3 linked regions of the Saccharomyces cerevisiae S288C genome follow. The protein of the gene in region 3 interacts with the protein of the main gene of each other region in a biochemical or structural test. Each region holds a gene or a part of one and is shown on either strand. Other genes may lie near its edges.

Region 1 (5,031 bases), on a different chromosome or scaffold from region 3:
AGAACCAATTACAGCAGTTGTTGGTGGATTTGATGACAAAACATCCAGAAATACAACAAAGCGTACATACGAGAGTCATCGGATTAGACTTCAGTATACAAAAGTGTCTGGACATGTTGAAACAAAAATCAGAAGCCGTTTACCAGAGCATACCTTACAATAGGTCTTATGAGAGTAATAAATTAGATGACTATGCTTTCGTGAGAATGAAACCTCAAATTCTGGAGTTCTTAAACTGTTTGGTGGATTTCATACTGGATAACATTCCACCACGTTTGGAAAATTTGCACGCATCATTAAAATTCTTAGACATTTGCACGGAATTAGTTATCAAATTGCCCAGATTTGAATTAGCTAGTAATAATTACTACTACGATAAATGCATTGAACAATTGTCTCACGTATGGTGTACGCTTATTGAACATGTTGCCCGTGACAGGATAATTTTATTAGCAGATAATAGCTCCGTCTGGAAAAGTCATATGACAAGATTACAGGTATACAATGAACATTCAAATGGGTTATTGGAACGCCCACTCCAGCTGTTCAAATCTTTAGATATGGGTAGCCCTTCAGCAGCATCGTCATCAACATTATCACTTCAAGAAAGTATTATTTACCACCACGATACCATGACAGCAAACGAAAACAATAACAATAGTGGTAGCGCTGCTACTGATTCGCCCTTTAACTAAGGATAGAATGGTTCTTTTGCTTTTTCAAATACATTAATATGTATATATATGTATATATAAATGTATGACTGTGTAATGTTACATATGCAGAAGTATCCGATTTTTTTTTGATTTTTTCTTTTATTTCATAAATCCAGTTTTTTACTGAAAGATAAACTTAATCCCTTCAACAGCTGTTGAGGATTAATCACTTGTGAGTGGTCATCGTCCGTTTCGCTTGAGATCTTTCTCATTGTTTCTATGTTCAATTTATTCACTTTTGAATTTGTTATTTCGTTTAAGGCTAGTGAGTGCGAGTTTAATATATGCGACTGGTACCTTAGCTCATCGACTTTTGTTTCTAACTTTGTCTCAACATCTGCAATCGCAAGGTCTGGCTCTTCTGTATCCGACAACGGTTCCAGTGGTTGTGATGAGAATGAAGTCAATTCTTGCCATTCAAGATCTGGTCTCGAAGTGTCTAAAGTGACTGCCCATTCTTTCACTTCATTTTTGATCGCGTTCACCTTGCTCGTTAAAATGCTAAGATTCTTTGTGTTTTCCACGTTTTTGCTATTAGGTAATAGTTTTTTTGGTTCTTTCGGTAGGGCTTTTCTCCTTTCACTAAATTTACGTCTAGACCTCTGTATTTCCGAGTAGTCCACCTCATCGTCGTCGTCGTCGTCGTCGTCGTTTTCCTGAAACAGTTGTCGCAGTTCCGTGTCATCGTAGTTTTCAGTATTATCCAGAATCTTCTCCTCATCTTCATCCTCATATTTTTCCTCATCTTCCCAATCTATCGCAATATGATCTTTTTTAAGATCATCGACAAACTCTTTTATTATCACCATAGCCAGACGTTTGGGATCCACATAATCAGTTTCTGCCTTTGTTGATTCGAGCTTGGATTTTTTGGTCAGATGTTCAAGTTCCCCTTCTTCCTCTTGGTTTTTAGCCTTCAACTCCAATTTATGCAGAGATCTCATTAAACACCAGTTGAAAAGCTGTCGTATTTGTAAATTTTTACCAAAAGACGCATTTCCAACCACGGTGTAAAAATCCTCTTCAGGAATATCCTTGTGCGGAGATATAATAGTGCTTCCCCCATTAGCTTGAGATGCTAACATAGACAATCTTCTACCTCTCTGACTTCCGATTGATTTTTTCCTTTCCCTTGTTCGTTGAATGTAGTGTGGTTGCTGAAGTTGTTGTTGATGGAATGATCCGTACGGAAACAATTGCGGAGCTGGCAGCAATTGTTGTGATGAAGATATATTTTGGGGAGTAGTCATATCGGGACCGCCTGCAGCAGTGGGTTGCGAATAAAAGGGCTGTAATGAGGAGTTGGGCATAATCGAATGCATTGGTGATCCAGGATATGGTATCATTGCAGGAGTTGGTGCATTCATCGGATGGTAGTAATAGTAATAAGGCATATATGGAGCGGGCATTGCACTTGCATTAACATTCGCAGTCGCATTTGCAGTCGCATTTGCAGTCGCATTTGCAGTCGCATCTCCACTATGATTGTCGTCAGCAATTGGCGCAGAAGAATTGAAATTCTCCACTCTCTTGGCCTTTTTTATATCTTGCAGGTTATCCAGCCTTTCGCCCAGAGTAGGGAACCCCTGGATATGTTTATTCTTGTGTCGTTTGAATTTCAAATCGGGGCTCAAATTCGACACGGATTGTTTATTCTCAAAATATTCGGTCTCCTCCTCATCTTTCTGGGTGGGCTCGTTGCTTTGTAGAGTAGCCTTGGAGTCGGATTCCAATATTGGGATAGTTTCCATCCGCAATGGGTATACTTGTTTGTGTGTTCTTTGATGCAGCATCGGCGGCGTACCGGAGACCGTTTGTGTGGGTTCCAGACTCATCCTCTACCTAAATAAAGAAAAATTTGTGTGTGGTACAATAGAAGAGGCCCGGTTTCACAACTCTGCCTGGTACTTTGTGCTTTTATCAATTGGCGGTTCTTTTGATGTTTATTTTGATTTGTTTATCATTTGTGAATTTTTGCTTTTACTAGAAATATATATCATTTTAAACGAAGCCACATATAAACGCTGAACTACACTGTAATTCATCATATAGTAAGCTGTCTTATATACTAAATTATCACTTCCAAAATGTAATAAACGTCTTTTGGCAATGGGGTACTCTGTGGTTTGCCCTTTGTATTATTTAAGCAATTGAAGTGAGGAATAAGCGGCCGTTCTGCAGTATGTCTTTTCGGGAGACTCTTTCTGCTACAGATTTTTGTAGATTCTATATCTACTCCATATTGATACATGCCTTGATATTATTTGTCCGTTGACGACCATCTATAACGCCGGGTTGTTTGGATATAAACATTTTGGTTTGGTTCTGCGCTCTTGACTTTGATGTGCCCCTATGGCAGCTCTTCTCGGTATATACGTGCTGCTATGAATAGAGCGTTAAGCCAGTCATAGTGTTTTAGTTTCACTCTTGCTGAACTCAACTTTCAAAGGCTTACCAAAGAATCGCTCGCCGTTTAATGAAATCTGGGCCAGACTGGCCTGGTCGATGGTTCTCATGGTGATAAAGGCTTGGCCCCGCTGTTTCTTGAAATTCATGCTAACCTTCAGTACCTCTCCAAACGTAGCAAAGAGCAAAAAAAGGTTTACTCGCAGTCGTTGCATATTAATTTTTTCATTAAGCTGGCTCACGTACAGCGTATTTTTAGCTTCCGTTACTGGTTCAGCCACAGTGTGATGAGTATCGCGATCAATCCTCTGCTTTTTCCTTGCTGGTTCAACCATTACTATATCCTACGTGTGAATGATGCGTGAGTTTCGAAACAGTTGCTCGGTCAGTGCCCTTTGCCACTTTTACCTATTGTTTTCTTTCAGTTGAAAAGTTTCATAACGCCAAAAAGATAAAAAATTAATCAAAAATACTTTGAAGCTGAAGAGAAAAGCGTGCCATAATACTAGCAAAAATTAGTTTTAGCAACTCAAAAAACTGTTTTATAAACATCATGACCAATTCAGTAAAGACTAATGGGCCAAGCTCCTCAGACATGGAGTACTACTATAAGTCGCTCTATCCATTCAAACACATTTTCAACTGGCTGAATCATTCGCCCAAACCTTCTAGGGATATGATTAACAGAGAATTCGCTATGGCGTTCAGGTCAGGTGCTTACAAAAGGTATAATTCTTTTAACTCTGTGCAAGATTTCAAAGCACAAATAGAAAAAGCCAACCCAGACAGATTTGAAATCGGTGCCATATATAACAAACCGCCAAGAGAACGTGATACTCTATTAAAAAGCGAATTGAAAGCTTTAGAGAAGGAGTTGGTGTTTGATATTGATATGGATGATTACGATGCCTTCAGAACGTGTTGCTCCGGAGCCCAAGTTTGCTCTAAGTGCTGGAAATTTATATCTTTGGCAATGAAAATTACGAACACGGCCCTAAGAGAGGATTTTGGTTATAAGGACTTCATCTGGGTATTTTCAGGTAGACGTGGTGCTCATTGTTGGGTAAGCGACAAACGGGCACGGGCTTTGACGGATGTACAACGAAGAAACGTTTTAGATTATGTCAACGTGATTAGAGACAGAAATACTGACAAGCGATTGGCTTTGAAGAGGCCTTATCACCCTCATCTTGCTCGTTCTTTGGAGCAATTGAAACCTTTCTTTGTCAGCATTATGCTCGAAGAGCAAAATCCTTGGGAAGATGACCAACATGCTATCCAAACTTTATTGCCTGCATTATATGATAAACAATTGATTGATTCATTAAAGAAGTATTGGCTGGACAATCCAAGGAGGTCAAGCAAAGAGAAGTGGAATGATATAGATCAGATAGCTACATCGCTCTTCAAAGGCCCCAAGCAAGACTCTCACATAATTAAGTTACGTGAATGTAAGGAAGATCTCGTATTGATGACTCTTTATCCGAAGCTGGATGTGGAAGTTACAAAGCAAACAATTCATTTGTTAAAGGCCCCTTTTTGTATTCATCCTGCTACGGGGAATGTCTGTGTGCCTATTGATGAATCCTTTGCACCTGAAAAAGCACCTAAGCTAATTGATCTTCAAACAGAAATGGAGAAAAATAATGATGTTTCATTAACAGCTTTACAACCTTTTATCAATCAGTTCCAAGCATATGTGAGTTCTCTTTTGAAAAATGAACTGGGTTCAGTGAAAAGAGAACGTGAAGATGATGATGAACCGGCTTCTTTAGATTTCTGATGGTGAAATCTTTTTGTAACAATAAAAAGGGTGTATATATATATATATGACTACTATAGCTTTTGGTTCAATTTTTGTTTAGCTGATAACGCATTCCGCTGGTAAGTCATTCGAAGTGTCACTTCC
Region 2 (6,742 bases), on a different chromosome or scaffold from region 3:
CCCAGTCTGTATCAAAATTGGTGTCTCCAGAATCCAGTGGGTAATCGTTTGCCACTAACTGTTGTTCGGATAGAACCAAATCGTTAATAGTAATTTTCTTCTTCTTTTGTAACTCTTTCAATTTATTTATTTTCTCCATTTTGGACAATCCAACATTAATAAATGAATTGTAGGGCGAAAAGAGCGTCATCTTGGAACCAGGTGCCATCACGGGAAATGTATGAAACGTGGAGGCAATTTCTCCAGGAATATATTTGAAGTTATCATCACTGATTTCATTAAAGGTATTTTTTCCGTTCTCAAAATCATCTGGTTGTAAACCTGGAATGAACAGAACTATCATTTTCTGTAAACTTGACCTGTTACAAATATCAATCCATTTGGGAGAGTTGTTTTCAGCCTGCAACAAGTATTGAGTCATGTCTCTTACATCCTTTATACCAATACCTTTTTCAACCACAGACTTTAGCAATGTGCATGTCATAGGCTTTGCCTTTTTTTTCTTCTTATTCTTATTCACTTCCGATACCACATTTGTATGATCATCCTCTTGTACAGAAGTCTTGGATAACCTTCTTTTCTTTGATCCCAAAGCCAAATCACTCACGAAGTTAGTGTCAGGCCCTTCTACTTGCATGTTTGCCTGAGTATAGTCTATTATTGTTTTCTTCCTCAGTCATCCTTGGTATTGCCATCGAGCAAAAATCTTCCCTCCATTTCTATTGTGTCCTCGCGCCACTTATAAAATACTAACAATAAAATAATAGTGAACTACAACAATAAAATATACAAAAATATGTTTATACGCAAGGGTTTTGTGGAGTGCACGTTGGCGAAGCAGAGGACTTAAGTAGGCGTCTGATTTCCGTGCTGCTTAACTTCTCGCTCCAGCCGTCTTCCTCCCTTCCTCCAAGTACATTAACCACATGTACTGCCAATGGGCTCATGCCTTTTTCAATCCTAGTCTTATTCACAGTCTCTGCCCCACTGACGGTTTCTCTACTCACAACTAAACATTCTATCTCGGGTACTTTCCCTGTGGGGCCGCACACGTCCCTTAAGGGAACTAGTTCTACGGAGAGATCCGGTTTTAACAACTTGATGAATTGATGTACGTGCCTGCATCGTGTATCATAAGGTTCAATCAACTCTTTGTATTTCTTGTTTTGCAAGAGCTCATCGCACGTAATTCCACAAATTAACCTTTGTGACGTGATGAATGTAGAGACGCTCAACAATATTTTATGTCCATCGTGAATGTGGTCGAACGTTCCGCCCAATGCGGTGACATGAAATTTGTTAGCATCTTTGGGACCTTCTATCTCTTCCATTATATTATCGTGTAATGCATAATGTTCTATACTATGGTATTGTCCTTGTCCCAACTCTAGCTTCCAAGTTTCAAAAGTGGATTCCTGTGGCAATAAAACCACTTTCCATTGCAAATTACTCTCGACGAAATGAATATTGTTGAATATGATGTTGATTCCGCTGTTGATCATTCCATAGCCCAAAAGGACATCCCTGGTAATACTGTACATCTTCCCTAGCGCAGAATCCAACTGGAATGAGGTTTTGAATTCAGGTACAATCACGATGTCTAGTTGACTTTGACATTCTCTTAAGAACGGAATAGTTTGCCCTATAATCCTCTGCAAAGTAGCACTAGGCGGTGTATAAGGAAGAACAATCAAAACTCTGGAATTTTCCTCAACCATCTTACACTTCTTTACTTTAGATTTTTAGGTTTAATCACGTCTCTTTTTATGACGGTCCTTATTTTTATCTTTTTCCATTACGTACTCTTGAAAAATTATATTACACTGATATTTATTTTGGCATTGTGAGTAAGAAACCTAAAAAGGAATAAAAAGGCTACAAACCAGCATGTCTACCGCTACCATACAGGATGAAGACATTAAATTTCAGAGAGAAAACTGGGAAATGATAAGGTCACACGTTTCACCCATAATATCCAATTTAACAATGGACAACTTACAGGAATCGCACAGAGACTTATTTCAAGTCAATATACTTATTGGCCGCAACATAATTTGTAAAAATGTTGTGGATTTTACTCTGAACAAACAGAATGGCAGGCTAATCCCTGCTTTATCCGCTTTGATTGCCTTGCTAAATTCTGATATTCCAGATATTGGAGAAACTTTAGCAAAAGAACTAATGTTAATGTTCGTGCAGCAATTCAATCGCAAAGATTACGTGTCCTGCGGAAATATCCTTCAATGTCTGTCCATTTTATTTCTTTATGATGTAATTCATGAAATCGTGATCTTACAGATTCTATTGCTACTCCTTGAAAAGAATTCTTTACGACTGGTCATTGCCGTGATGAAAATATGTGGCTGGAAACTTGCACTTGTCAGTAAGAAAACCCATGATATGATTTGGGAGAAGTTAAGATATATTTTGCAAACACAGGAGTTATCTAGTACACTACGTGAGTCGTTAGAGACTCTGTTTGAAATAAGGCAAAAAGATTATAAATCTGGGTCTCAAGGTCTGTTTATATTGGACCCAACTAGTTACACAGTTCATACGCACTCCTATATTGTTAGTGATGAGGATGAAGCCAACAAAGAACTGGGAAATTTTGAAAAGTGTGAAAATTTCAATGAACTAACCATGGCGTTTGATACGCTACGACAGAAGCTGCTGATAAATAATACGTCCGACACAAATGAAGGTAGTAACAGTCAATTACAAATCTATGACATGACATCTACCAATGATGTCGAGTTTAAAAAGAAGATTTATTTGGTTCTGAAAAGTTCATTATCAGGTGACGAAGCGGCTCACAAATTGCTAAAATTAAAGATTGCGAACAATTTGAAAAAAAGCGTGGTAGATATAATCATCAAATCTAGTTTGCAGGAATCTACATTCTCTAAATTTTATTCTATTTTGTCCGAACGTATGATAACGTTCCACAGGAGTTGGCAGACAGCTTACAATGAAACTTTTGAGCAGAATTATACACAAGATATCGAAGATTATGAAACTGACCAACTGCGAATCTTAGGTAAGTTTTGGGGACACTTAATATCTTATGAATTTCTTCCAATGGACTGTCTTAAGATAATTAAGTTAACTGAGGAAGAATCGTGTCCTCAAGGAAGAATTTTCATCAAATTTTTATTTCAAGAGCTCGTAAATGAGCTCGGATTAGATGAGCTGCAATTAAGGCTAAACTCCAGCAAGCTTGACGGAATGTTTCCGCTGGAAGGAGACGCCGAACATATAAGATACTCCATAAATTTCTTTACTGCCATAGGATTGGGCCTGCTCACAGAGGACATGAGAAGCCGGTTGACAATTATTCAAGAAGTTGAGGATGCAGAGGAAGAAGAAAAAAAATTGAGAGAAGAGGAGGAACTTGAAAAGTTACGGAAGAAGGCCAGAGAGTCACAACCAACCCAAGGGCCAAAAATTCACGAATCCAGGTTATTTTTACAGAAGGACACCAGAGAAAATAGTAGATCAAGATCGCCATTCACAGTGGAAACAAGAAAACGTGCTAGATCCAGAACTCCACCAAGAGGATCGAGAAACCATCGTAACAGATCCAGGACTCCGCCTGCAAGAAGGCAACGGCATAGATGAAGAGCCCGGCCAAACAAACATTACACATGTAATCGTACATATTTACATAGAACCGTACACGCTTTTAGCCAAAAAAAAAAGAAAGGTAGAATATAAAATAAAAACTCGTATTTCGTATTAAGACAAATATACAGAAATACAAATGAGATCATAAACGAACTAAAATAGGAAAATGAAAAAAAAAAAAAAAGATTAGCGAAGGCAAACCAGAAAGCAGTCCTTTGATATAACAGAGAAAAAGAAGATTATCAAAGCCTTAATTTAAAGTTAAAAATATTGGGTATCGTTTTTTAAATCAAGATTTTTTTTGTTTTTTTTTACAATTGAGTAGACTTATTCATTGGATAGAATACCCCAGTATTTTTCAACACCGTAAGCACCGTCGGCCTTCCAGTAGTCGTTGAAGGCAGTGAATAAGAAGGTATCAGCACCACAGGAGCTGGTAATGGCGGAAACAGCGTCCTTTTGATTTTCCTTAGATGGAACAGCAACACCGTAAGTCTCACCCTTTGATGGCCAACCAGACTCAGTGATAACAACATTCTTCTTACCATCACAAGCAGTCCAGACTCTTTGGATTTGTTCTAGTAACCATTTACCGGAGTCTTGGGCAACTGTGTTCTTGTCAAAGTAAGCATGGGCATTAACAGCCATGTAGTCGGAGTAGTCACACAATTCAGGGTTGTTGATCACAGCAATAAAAGTATCAACAGAAACAACTGGACCAGTGTAACCGGCAGCCTTCAAGGCAGATCTACCAGAGTCAATGTATTGACCGACTTGGGATGGGGTAGCTTGGTTACCGTTAACCAATTCGTTACCAATGGAAACAGTGGTGACATCGTCCCAAGAACCGTAAGATTCAACAGCAGACTTGATGGTGTTGACACCGTCTTGGATTTGGTCAACGTAGTAAATACCTAAAAAGACTTTTTGGTTCGAAGCCTTAGCCTTGAAAACATTTTCAACTTGGTTACAGTCGGTACCGTACAATCTAATGACTGGGAAGTCAGTCAATTGAGCTAAATCGGAAGCAACTTCCGAAGCGGATTTACAAGCACCGCTGGACTCGTATGGGGTATAAGTGATACCTCTGACACCAGAGGCAAAGCTGCTGACGTCTTCGCCGGAAGAACTAGAGGAAGAAGCTTGGGAGGAAGAGGAAGATTGAGTAGATGTAGCAGCAGAGCTGGAGGCTGGAGATGCGGCAGCAGAAACTTGTGAGTTGTTCTCAGAAGAGGAAGCAGCAGCGGTAGCTACAGAAGCAGCAGACGATGTTGTACTGGTAGCGGCAGCTGGAGCGGAGTTGACAACAGCATTTTCTTCCAAAGCAGCAACTGGAGTTGAAGCGGCACCATTAACAATGATAGTGGTTTGTTTTTGAACAGTGGTAGTGACCACAGCACGCTTGTCCTTGTGTTCGTGGTTAGCGGGAGCAGCAAGAGTAGCAGCAGATAAAAGAGAGGCAGAAGCAATTAGGTTAGAGAGACGCATATTTTTCTAGTTTGCTTTTCGGTATGGCTTGCTAGTATATAAACGATTGTAGATGTAAAAGAATGACTTAGTTGGATTTAGTTAGATATCTAGCTGGACCTTTGTGTAAACACTATTAAAAGAATAGAATAAGGGCTAAAAGAACTACTAAACAGAAAACAATTATGACAGAAGATAAAGAATACATATCTATTAGTTTTATAAAACAGAGATCTTCTCCTCGAGGAATGGGAGAAAACAGAAAAAAAAAAACAAAAACAACGGTGCCGTTTTTGAAACAACACCACAAGAGAAAATTTCTGAAAAAAATGCGCGTGAAAAGGAATCATGTGCCTATTTTCCTCATTTGGAGAGGCTAAACGAAAAGGGAAAAGAGGTGCGTTGCGCGTGTTTCTAGGGAGAAGATCCTATTGCAGCAGGGTGTCGCGCGAAAAGCGGTGCCTACAAATTACAAAACCCTCTGGGAAATGACCGTGCAGGGTCGTTTGTGGATGCATCTCGATTAGGCCGGGCTAGGCATCTTGATTCTTTCCCAAAATGGAGTTAACGAGCTCGATTGGGCGTTAATTGATGGATTTGGTTACACTGATACGAATTGAGCCCGTTTATCATTCATGCAGCGGCTTTATGGAGGGTGTGGAAGACGTTAGCGATGTTATGCTTTCCACTTGCTCTACTATCTTCCATCAAACCCACCTAATAAAGCTGAAGGTTTTGCAGGGGCAGAAGTCGTGGCGCAATAAGTTCAATAAATACTTATAATATTACTTACTAGTTTAATCATGTATGTAAAAACTCGTTGCGGTATGCTGTCGTACTGGCACACATTTTTTTTTTTCATTTTTATTTGCTTTTTTCTTTGGCACCGGGGAAGAATTTTTCCCCACTCTATATATCTTGCTGCGTGTGCAGACTGGCCAGCTGCTCACACAATGAAACGCAATGGAATGTTTAGTCGTTTGTTATCATAAAGATCTCATTCAGTGCCTTGGAGTCCATCAACGCGGCCCTCTTTTGTTTTATCCATTTGGAGCGCACCGATAGTCTTGTGTTTACCGCATCGGGGATATTGGATGCAGATTCACTAGATTTTAATTTTGACGTCTTTTTCGTTTCTTTGGTCTTTTCCGCCCTTTTTTCCTTCTTCAATCTCTTCTCTTCCTTTTTATGTTTCTTATGCTCCTTTTTGTCCTTCTTGTCTTTTTTCTTGTCTTTCTTATGCTTTTTGTGCTTCTTGTGCTTCTTTTTATCACTGTCTTTATCCTCTTTGTCGTCATCATCTTCATCTTCGCTATCGTCTCCTTCCCTCTTTCGTTTCTTCGCGTTGGAGTAATTTCTTAACTTGTGAGTCTTTGGATCCCACGTGCTTGCTAAAACTTCACCCTTCACAAAATGGATACCCCATTTTCCGTCAATAATCTTCTGCTTTCTCTGCGTGTCCAATTCCTCTGATATTTTGCTTTCCTTTCCGTTCAGCCTACCAAGAATTCGCTGGAAGACATCCAACCCTGCGCATTCACCATTATCAAACTCGTCTTTTTTGTCTTTACGTTTTAATTTAGCACCGAGCCCAACGTTGTCGTCCTTAATTGACACTTTGATATGCGAAGTGTTCGAATTCATGGGG
Region 3 (9,280 bases):
ACAAAAGGACGTATCTTAACGTCATGCTTATATTCGAGTGCAAATAGGTTACATATGTACATCAAGGCTGATAATTCGATGGAGTCCACCTGTATTTTGGGGAAAGTGGTGGCAAGAGTATGGGATAGGCCACCCACACCAGCCCCTGGGGTCACGATAAGAATTTTCTCTTTCATGTCCCCGGCACTAATCACATGATGGTTGATTCTACTAATGATAAAATTTTGTAAAGGATCTCTTTCCACACTATAGTAAGAGCTGAAATCACGACACAAATGTGCTAATGCTTCATGGACCACACTTTGGCTGCCTCGAGACGAAACTATTGGAAATACGAAGTCAGGATTCAATTGAATAAGGTGACCATCTTTAATCTTATAGCCGTGTTCCGCGCATATCTTTTCAATTTCCTCTGTAAATTCTTCATCGTGTTCGTTGGAATGAATCAATTTCCCTAAAGTGAACTCAATTATCTTGTCAATAACTCTTGCGTTTTCTCGGATACCCTCATTATTTTTCATTAATTTGGTGAAGTAGCCTAATTTTTGCAACTGATCTTCTGAAATTCCATTTAATTGTCTTGCTCTCCGAAATAAAAGGCCATTATAGCCTTCTCCTCTTGCTCGATACTCATGTAAACGGATTAAATTCCCCGTAAGATCAGGAAGAGTGGGAATCTGATAATTAATTTTAGAAAGATTCGATTGATCGGCAGATATTGATTTCTCAACATCAACCAATTTTAAGGAGGGCGATAAAACGCTGACTTTTTGGGCCAGATTTGATTTTCTTGATAATAGCTTTTCAACATATGATACAAACCACCTCTGCAACGGCTTATTTTGCCTTAGCAGTGTCATCAGGACTACCACAAGGGCTAGAATTATATTTGATGCCAGTGAGCTAACCATTGGCGCTCCTCAACTTCGTATATCAATATTTTTACCTCTTCTATTTCCTGAAAAATTTGTTAATTGTACAGCATCGTTTACGTTTTTTTTTTTTTACGGGTCTTCTTACCTAACCCCGAAAAGTATTGTGGATCTTAAAAGGGTCTCAATTATTTGAAGTTCGATAAAAACCAACTACTTTGTTATTTTAAAACTGTATTATACAAACGCTGGTAAACTTCCAGAGACGATATGCGTCTAAAAGAATTGTTACCTAATTTTTTGATTGTTCATCAAGAGGTCCCTGAGGATCCTATTGCATTCAAGTCCACCGATAAACGAGAGAATGAAAATAAAGAGATCACCATCCCTGAGCTAATAGATACTAAAGTTCCTGAATTAGCTGACGGTGCTACTGACACTTTATATGGTTTACTGGTCAATGGCCATTTACAAACTGCATATGGTTCCTTTAGACACTTTGACAATATATACAAAGTTCAATATAAAAGAATGATAATCAAATACCCACATGGGGGAGAAGGGACTGTGGATTTTGCTGTAAATGGTAGAAGTACCAAAAGAAGAAAAGTGGAAAAAGAATACGTGCCGACAAGTCAACCGGTATTTAACGGAAACTTGAAACGAAGATATTCGTACTATTCCCCTGATGATCCTAAATTGAACTCAGACGATGCTAAGCCTATGCTTATTATTCTCCATGGATTAACAGGGGGTTCGAGGGAAAGCTACGTGAGGGCAATTGTTCATGAAATCACCACGAAGTATGACTTTGAAGCATGCGTGTTTAATGCTAGAGGATGTTGTTATTCTGCAATTACAACGCCGCTATTATACAACGGTGGTTGGACCAATGATATAAGATATTGTGTTAATGACTTGAGGAAAAGATTTCCGAATAGAAAGTTTTATATGATGGGATTTTCGTTAGGCGCATCTATAATGACAAATTACTTGGGAGAAGAGTCAGATCGTACTAAAATCGAATGTGCTATTTCCGTGAGTAATCCATTTGACCTGTACAACTCTGCATATTTTATTAACAGTACACCAATGGGGTCACGATTTTATTCACCTGCTTTGGGTCACAACTTACTACGCATGGTTCGAAACCATCTCTCTACTCTGGAAGAAAACCCTGATTTCAAAGATGTTATCGAGAAGCATTTAAAAAAGATTCGCACTGTGAGGCAATTTGATAACTTGTTGACAGGCCCAATGTTTGGATATAAAAATGCAGAGGAGTATTACAAGAATGCTTCATCATATAAAAGAATACCCGGGATCAGAACTCCTTTTATAGCTTTGCATGCTCAGGATGACCCAATTGTCGGAGGTGATCTTCCTATAGACCAAATAAAATCCAATCCATACACTTTGCTTCTAGAAACTTCGACGGGGGGGCATGTTGGATGGTTCAAAGACAGATCCGGCAGAAGGTGGTACGCAGAACCCTTATGCAGATTTTTGAAAATATTTCACGACGAAATTACTGTAAAGGGCTTAAAACCTGACTTGGAAAATGTTCAACTCCCAGATCCTAATTGCGAACCCATAGCCACAACCTTTCGCGCGAATTAGTTTGTAAATAAGTCAACTTTTTAGATGTGTAACCTGATAATTTTTTTTTTTGATGTTCGACATCATTATTTCTGAATGAAAACGTGAAAAGCTTCGCCAAACTTAAAATGGAAAATTTCGAATGGAACAAAATATAATCGATGCGATGAATTAAAACCTTGGAAGAAGAGGGTTAATTGTTAAAATTACATATATAATTGGCAGACAAGAATAAAAAATGCATGAAGTAGTAACGATATCGGTTTCGCAGAGAGCAAACCATTTGACTACTCAATTCTTCAATATACAAGAGGGCTATTTACAATTGTCTAAAGAACAACAAGTCAATGACTCCAAAATTTTTCTGAATTCGGTTGTAGATAAAGTTTCAAAAACAATTTCATATGCACCACGTGCCTTACTTTGGGATGCCCGTACAGGTAATGGTTCACTAGGAACATATCAATATTCAGAAAGCCAAGACTATCATTTCGGCAATGAAGACAAATTCAAGGAGCAAACAGTTATAAAGACTCATCCAAGAATACCTAAATCCGAATATCAGAGTTCTCTAGATGCAGGAGCACCGCTGCCTTGTTTGAACAGAGAAAATACGATGTATTGGTCTGACTATTCTAAACTTATCTATGGTCCTTCAAGTTTCAATATTTTGAGAAATTGGTACCATGACACTGAAAATCCAAACCAACCTGACTTTCAAAACTTGGGGGAGCGAAAGTTTGACAGGTATTCCATTGGTTATGACGAATTTACCGAAAATTACTTGCAAGAGTTTTTTGATGGAAATTTGCATAGAGAATTGGAAAAATGTGACACCCTGCAAGGCTTCAATCTTGTAAGTGATATGGAGAGTGGATGGGGCGGGTTTTCTAGTGCTCTACTGGTGGAATTAAGGAATGAATTACCTAAAAAGGCGGTCTTTTCATGGGGACACAATGAAGATGATCCATTCACAGATGACTTCCCTATGAAAAGACTTTCAAAGAAATGGCTCCCGATCATTTCGAACAAATTAAGAAGCACAATAAATATGATGCAAGAATCCGATCTTTACTTCCCATTGTATGCTGCTCCTGGACTAACTAATTGGGAAACTGCTGGAAAGAGCTGTAGGATATTTGATTCTATAAATGCGACAATTTCCCAAAGCAATCTTGAACAAAGAAAGACAATGGATTATCTAACAACTGCCATTACCTTAGGATATTCGTCGCGAAATATGGTCACTGGCATGGTTATCGGTGACACCGATTACTCATTCTGTTCTCGAGTACTTCCTTTCAAGAATAGCCACAAACCAAATTCTACTCACATATTTTCAAAAAGTTTCATTGATAGAGGAAATCAAACGCATAAACATCATTCCGAACCTGATTCACGGAGTAAGATGATTGAAATGTATACACACAGGTATTTTCCATCTGATACGATACCGACAGAATTTTCCAATGATCGTGAATTTGTTTTGGAATTAGAATCATCTGAAAAAAATCGAGATATATTCAAACATTGGAATGAGTTTGTGGTAAGGTACTTCAAAAATGATAGTGACAGAGAAGAATTGAAAAATGAACTTTCCGATTACGCCTCAGCGTACGAATCTGGGTGGTATGAAGACGAAGATTCTGGTGATGACGATATGTGATAAGCAGTTTGCAGCTACGTATTTCCTTTCTCCAGTTGAGGCAAACAGGACTTCTTCCATCTTTTTCGAAGTTTTTACTTCGCCATTTGATCTATATCTACGTAAATTACATTAATTAGAAAGTCATGCTATATCACTCTTGCCCTTGAAAGCATCCACAGCTGTCCGTCAAAAACTTAATTTCTCAAGTGGAGGAGAAAATTTTACCTCTTGAACTTAAAGAATGTAAATCTTCATTTGCGTCTTTAAAGTCATCGTTTTGATTTTCACCAGTTGCTGTTTTTTGCAAAAAGGATTTTCTATTTCCAATGCTACTGCGATCAGAAAGACTAGATATTGGTGCAAGTCGCAGAGAATTTGATCTAGCAACGTCGATTTTATCCAAGCCAACAATATTCTCCTCATCAGGATCTTTGATTTTATTCGCGTCATCTGAAAAAGTTTTCAATTCATTTAATAAAAATGTGATATTAGTGACACGAGATTTCACTGATTGAGAACCCCGAAAAGAGCCATCTCTTTTCATATTATTTGGAATATTCTTTTCATTCATAGTTTTTTTCAAATCGCTAACTTTTGGTGCGGTGGCTCTCATTGTTTTCCATGATCTTGCGTCCTCAGCAACAAACCTATAGATACTACCTTTTGCATTAGCATCAGAAATTACAGTATCGTTAGCTTCTTCTATATTGTCATCTATGCTGTTGTCGAATTTATTTTGCTTGGCCGCAAAATCGTTGTTATCATACACTGCTTTCCCATTTGAAAAAATAGCATTAGGGACATTCTTGTACTCCAGAGGTGTAGTACGAACTTGAGAGTCCGACAGTAAATCAGAAGTAGAAATTTGATTATCACGAGACAATAAAATCTGCGCCCCCTTCTTGCTGTATTTATTTGATCCAGTATCAGAATAGTATGACAATAAATCTTCCTTGGTAAACAAAGTTCTAGTTTGCATTTTGTACTCAGTTTGTGACTTGTAGTCATTGAGTTTTAAAAAGTTAGCTGCTTGTAAATGGTACGAATAATAGGTATACTCAGGCTCAGAAACGTTCTCTAGAAAATAATTCAAACCGGATAATAGTGCCATTTTTCCATACTTGTCAAAGATCTCTTCCATCATTTCTTTTTGCACACCATGTGAATCCAGTTCACGTAATAATGAGTACAGTTTTGAAAAGAGAATGCTGCTTGGAACCTCAGTTTCAACAATGTTAAATAAACATATAATGTGGTTTTTCATGTAATGCGCCAAGTCGATGAATAATTCCAAACTGATACTTGGCTGCGTAATATGTTCAACGAGGAAATCAATATCTTCCACAACTGCATTCTTTTCAACATCCTTGACGGTGTCACTTTTCAATTTCAATAGTAGTTCATATAACATATCTGAGGTCTGTTCAGCGTAATAAGTTTTATGGTTAAGGTCTGTCATGGTGATACAAGACTGTGCCACAACTTCTTTATTAGTTGCATTTTTCAACTGGAAATTTAAAAGCTTTCTCATTATATCAAGAACACTCAACCCCACTATACTGACATCTGAAACAAGTAATGACGACATCAATTTCAAGGAAACAATTGGATTTACATTTTTATCCTTGTCGCTTAGTTGTCTGACCAAAAGAAGTATAACAATATATCGTAACTGAACAGGTATACCATTGCATACAAACTCTAGCAGTTCCTTATTAGGTGTACTTTGCAGACAGCGCAACAGAGTACGAATAGACAAATTCAATTTGTCTGTCTCAGTTGTGTTAAAATAGGATTGCAATGCTTTTACTGAAAGGTCATGATTATCTTCGGCGGCCTTATCTAACCCAATTGTACGAGTTTGTGTTCGACTTAGCCTTTTTCCTAAATTGCTCTCCAGAGCTGCTTCCAGCGACAAAGTTTTAAATTTCGGATTTCTCTCTTGGAACTTTGAAATAGTATAGGCAACAGACTTGGAAACAAAGTGGTTTAGTTGTGGGTTGCTTGAAACACTATTTGTGTTTGATATATCAATACAGCATTTCAGAAGCATGTCATCATTATGAATTCTTTCAGTAACTATTTTAAAAAAAAGATCAACAAAGTTCTGGTATAACTGGACGAATTCCATGTCACCGTTACACAAGACGTCGTCCAAGTTCTGGCATATACTACTAAATGCCAGTTCTATTAATTCAACAACAGATACATCATTGTTAAAATTGTTGTTGGAAAGAACTTTGTTCATAATGTACAAAAAATCTTTAACAAATACATTCAAATTCTCCTTACAATGCAACACAATTTTGTTCATTAAATCCAATGTAACGGCTATGTTCCCTATGCGCCGATGGTTCAAGTCGGAAGTGGAACGCTTAATCAGGTAAGTGCTAACTTTCTCCAATTTACTACGCCTCGAGTTAACGTAATATAGCAAATATGAAGTTTCCGAAGATTTAGGCTTCTTATCTGTGGTCCTTCCCGTAGGATAACATTGATTGACCAGTTTCTGATGTTTTGGTGTGAACATCATCCGCATAGACAACTGCATCGCAAACCACTTTCAGAACAATTGAAAATGAACGAAAGATGAATAATAGAGCGAATGATCTGGGTTCAATATACAGTCTGCCACTGAATTAATACTACTCCAATAGCGGGGTTGCTCACAATACTTTCAATTTATCCTGGCTGCCTGGCTTTTTCAACAAAACCATTACCTTCCTAGTAGTTCGAACAAAATTTTCTTCCTCTTCCTTTGGCCGGGGTTGAAGTTTAATGAAAAATTAATGCTATGAACTATTATGACAAAAAAGCATATGCGACTCAGGAAGATAGTAAAGAAAAAAAGCAAAACATTTCTAAGAGGACTATACTAGCATTTCAAGATGCCCCCCGTACCAATATACGTGAAAGGCGGTGTATGGACCAATGTGGAGGATCAGATTCTTAAAGCGGCTGTACAAAAATACGGAACTCATCAGTGGAGCAAAGTAGCATCCCTTTTGCAGAAAAAGACTGCCAGGCAGAGTGAATTAAGGTGGAATGAATATTTAAATCCAAAGTTGAATTTTACAGAGTTCTCGAAGGAGGAGGATGCCCAACTTCTAGATCTTGCAAGAGAGCTGCCTAATCAGTGGAGGACCATAGCTGATATGATGGCCAGGCCTGCACAGGTCTGCGTCGAAAGATATAATAGGCTATTAGAAAGTGAAGACAGTGGAGGGGCTGCGTTAAGTACAGGAGTTACTGACTTGAAAGCCGGGGATATTAATCCTAACGCTGAAACTCAAATGGCTAGACCAGATAATGGTGATTTGGAAGATGAGGAAAAGGAAATGCTTGCTGAAGCTAGGGCTCGTCTGTTAAATACCCAAGGTAAGAAGGCTACAAGAAAGATTAGAGAGCGGATGCTCGAAGAATCAAAACGCATTGCTGAACTACAAAAGAGGCGTGAGCTAAAGCAAGCAGGAATTAATGTTGCCATTAAGAAACCGAAAAAAAAATACGGCACCGACATTGATTACAATGAAGATATAGTATATGAACAAGCTCCCATGCCAGGTATATATGACACGTCCACTGAAGACCGCCAGATAAAAAAGAAGTTTGAGCAGTTTGAGAGAAAAGTCAACAGAAAAGGTTTGGATGGTAATAAGGATAAGCCAAGTAAAAAAAATAAGGACAAAAAAAGAAAACACGATGAGAACGAACACGTTGAGAAAGCAGCACTGGGTGAATCTACTACATTGACGGATGAGTATAAAAAACCAAAACTTATACTATCTGCACCAGGAACGAAACAGGGAAAAGTCACCTATAAAAAAAAGCTAGAAAGCAAAAGACAAAAACTAATCGAGGCACAAGCAACTGGCACTGTGTTGACACCAAAAGAACTACTACCCCACGACTCCGGCCAAGAAGATAATGAACGCAGTAATATAAAGAGTGGTAAACAGCTAAAATCACGCATACGAAAATTTTTAGTGCAAATGTTCGCATCTTTGCCTAGTCCCAAGAACGATTTCGAAATTGTATTAAGTGAAGACGAGAAAGAAGAAGATGCAGAGATAGCGGAATACGAGAAAGAATTTGAAAATGAAAGAGCGATGAATGAAGAGGACAACTTCATAGAACCACCATCTCAAAATGATGCGCCACGCGTCTCATTAGTAGCCGTTCCATTAGCTTACTCAACGCTACCCATACCAGAATTCAAAAACAATCCGCAGTCCGCGATTGACAATAAGTACAACTTGCTAGTCGCGAACGCCATAAACAAAGAACCTCACATGGTACCAGAAGATACGGTAGATTTTCTCAAAGAGGTGGAGTCGCGTATGCAGCATATAACCCAAGGGCGCACTTCCATGAAAATACAATTCAAAACAGCAATGCCCCCAACTGAGGTTCTTCTGGAATCGATCCAATCAAAAGTGGAGTCTATTGAACAGTTACAGCGTAAACTACAACATGTGCAACCACTGGAACAACAGAATAACGAGATGTGCAGTACCCTCTGCCATCACAGCCTGCCCGCTTTGATTGAAGGGCAACGCAAGTACTACGCTGATTACTACGCCTACCGACAAGAGATACGATCGCTTGAGGGTCGTAGAAAGCGTCTTCAAGCCATGCTAAATTCTTCTTCTTCCATATAGCATTAGTATAGCATTAATATAACTTTTATGAACTAGGACATAGAGGACTTGTGACAACGCATTACCCGGAGTTAGAACGTTTTCTTGCCAAGTTGGCCACATCGGCAAACCAGCGATGGTAATAAGATGTAGTACTGACAAAACATGGTGGATAGGCCAGAAGAGCGTGCATTGGCTGGCGAAAAGATCGAGGACAATGATTCCAAAATTATATATACATTTGATACTATCTTTATTGTTGTTGCCGCTAATTTTGGCGCAGGATTATTATGCAATACTAGAGATAGACAAAGATGCCACTGAGAAGGAAATCAAATCAGCGTACAGACAATTGTCTAAGAAGTACCATCCGGATAAAAATGCTGGGAGCGAAGAAGCCCATCAAAAATTCATTGAAGTCGGCGAGGCATACGATGTATTGAGCGATCCTGAAAAGAAAAAGATTTATGACCAGTTTGGTGCAGATGCTGTAAAGAATGGCGGTGGCGGTGGCGGTCCAG

What was found.
Region 1: the proteins of CEF1 (region 3) and MSL1 form a complex in vitro, tested with the Saccharomyces cerevisiae proteins (one study listed by BioGRID).
Region 2: the proteins of CEF1 (region 3) and CWC22 form a complex in vitro, tested with the Saccharomyces cerevisiae proteins (one study listed by BioGRID).

The regions. Positions count from the first base shown.
Region 1 is NC_001141.2:372,951-377,981, reverse strand, and holds MSL1 (U2 snRNP complex subunit MSL1), read right to left. Parts: upstream 3,458-5,031; coding exon 3,122-3,457; downstream 1-3,121. Other genes in the region: STS1 (Sts1p), read left to right, coding at 1-695; MIND complex subunit DSN1, read right to left, coding at 821-2,551; DNA primase subunit PRI1, read left to right, coding at 3,676-4,905; EGH1 (hydrolase), read right to left, coding at 4,984-5,031.
Region 2 is NC_001139.9:1,044,844-1,051,585, forward strand, and holds CWC22 (U2-type spliceosomal complex subunit CWC22), read left to right. Parts: upstream 1-1,887; coding exon 1,888-3,621; downstream 3,622-6,742. Other genes in the region: RNH70 (Rnh70p), read right to left, coding at 1-637; CAB4 (putative pantetheine-phosphate adenylyltransferase), read right to left, coding at 801-1,718; SCW4 (putative family 17 glucosidase), read right to left, coding at 3,955-5,115; PXR1 (telomerase inhibitor), read right to left, coding at 6,067-6,742. UniProt on the Saccharomyces cerevisiae protein: May be involved in pre-mRNA splicing.
Region 3 is NC_001145.3:686,374-695,653, forward strand, and holds CEF1 (Cef1p), read left to right. Parts: upstream 1-7,007; coding exon 7,008-8,780; downstream 8,781-9,280. Other genes in the region: YMR209C (uncharacterized protein), read right to left, coding at 1-911; MGL2 (putative carboxylic ester hydrolase), read left to right, coding at 1,143-2,492; DML1 (Dml1p), read left to right, coding at 2,710-4,137; EFR3 (Efr3p), read right to left, coding at 4,322-6,670; SCJ1 (Scj1p), read left to right, coding at 8,977-9,280. UniProt on the Saccharomyces cerevisiae protein: Involved in pre-mRNA splicing and cell cycle control.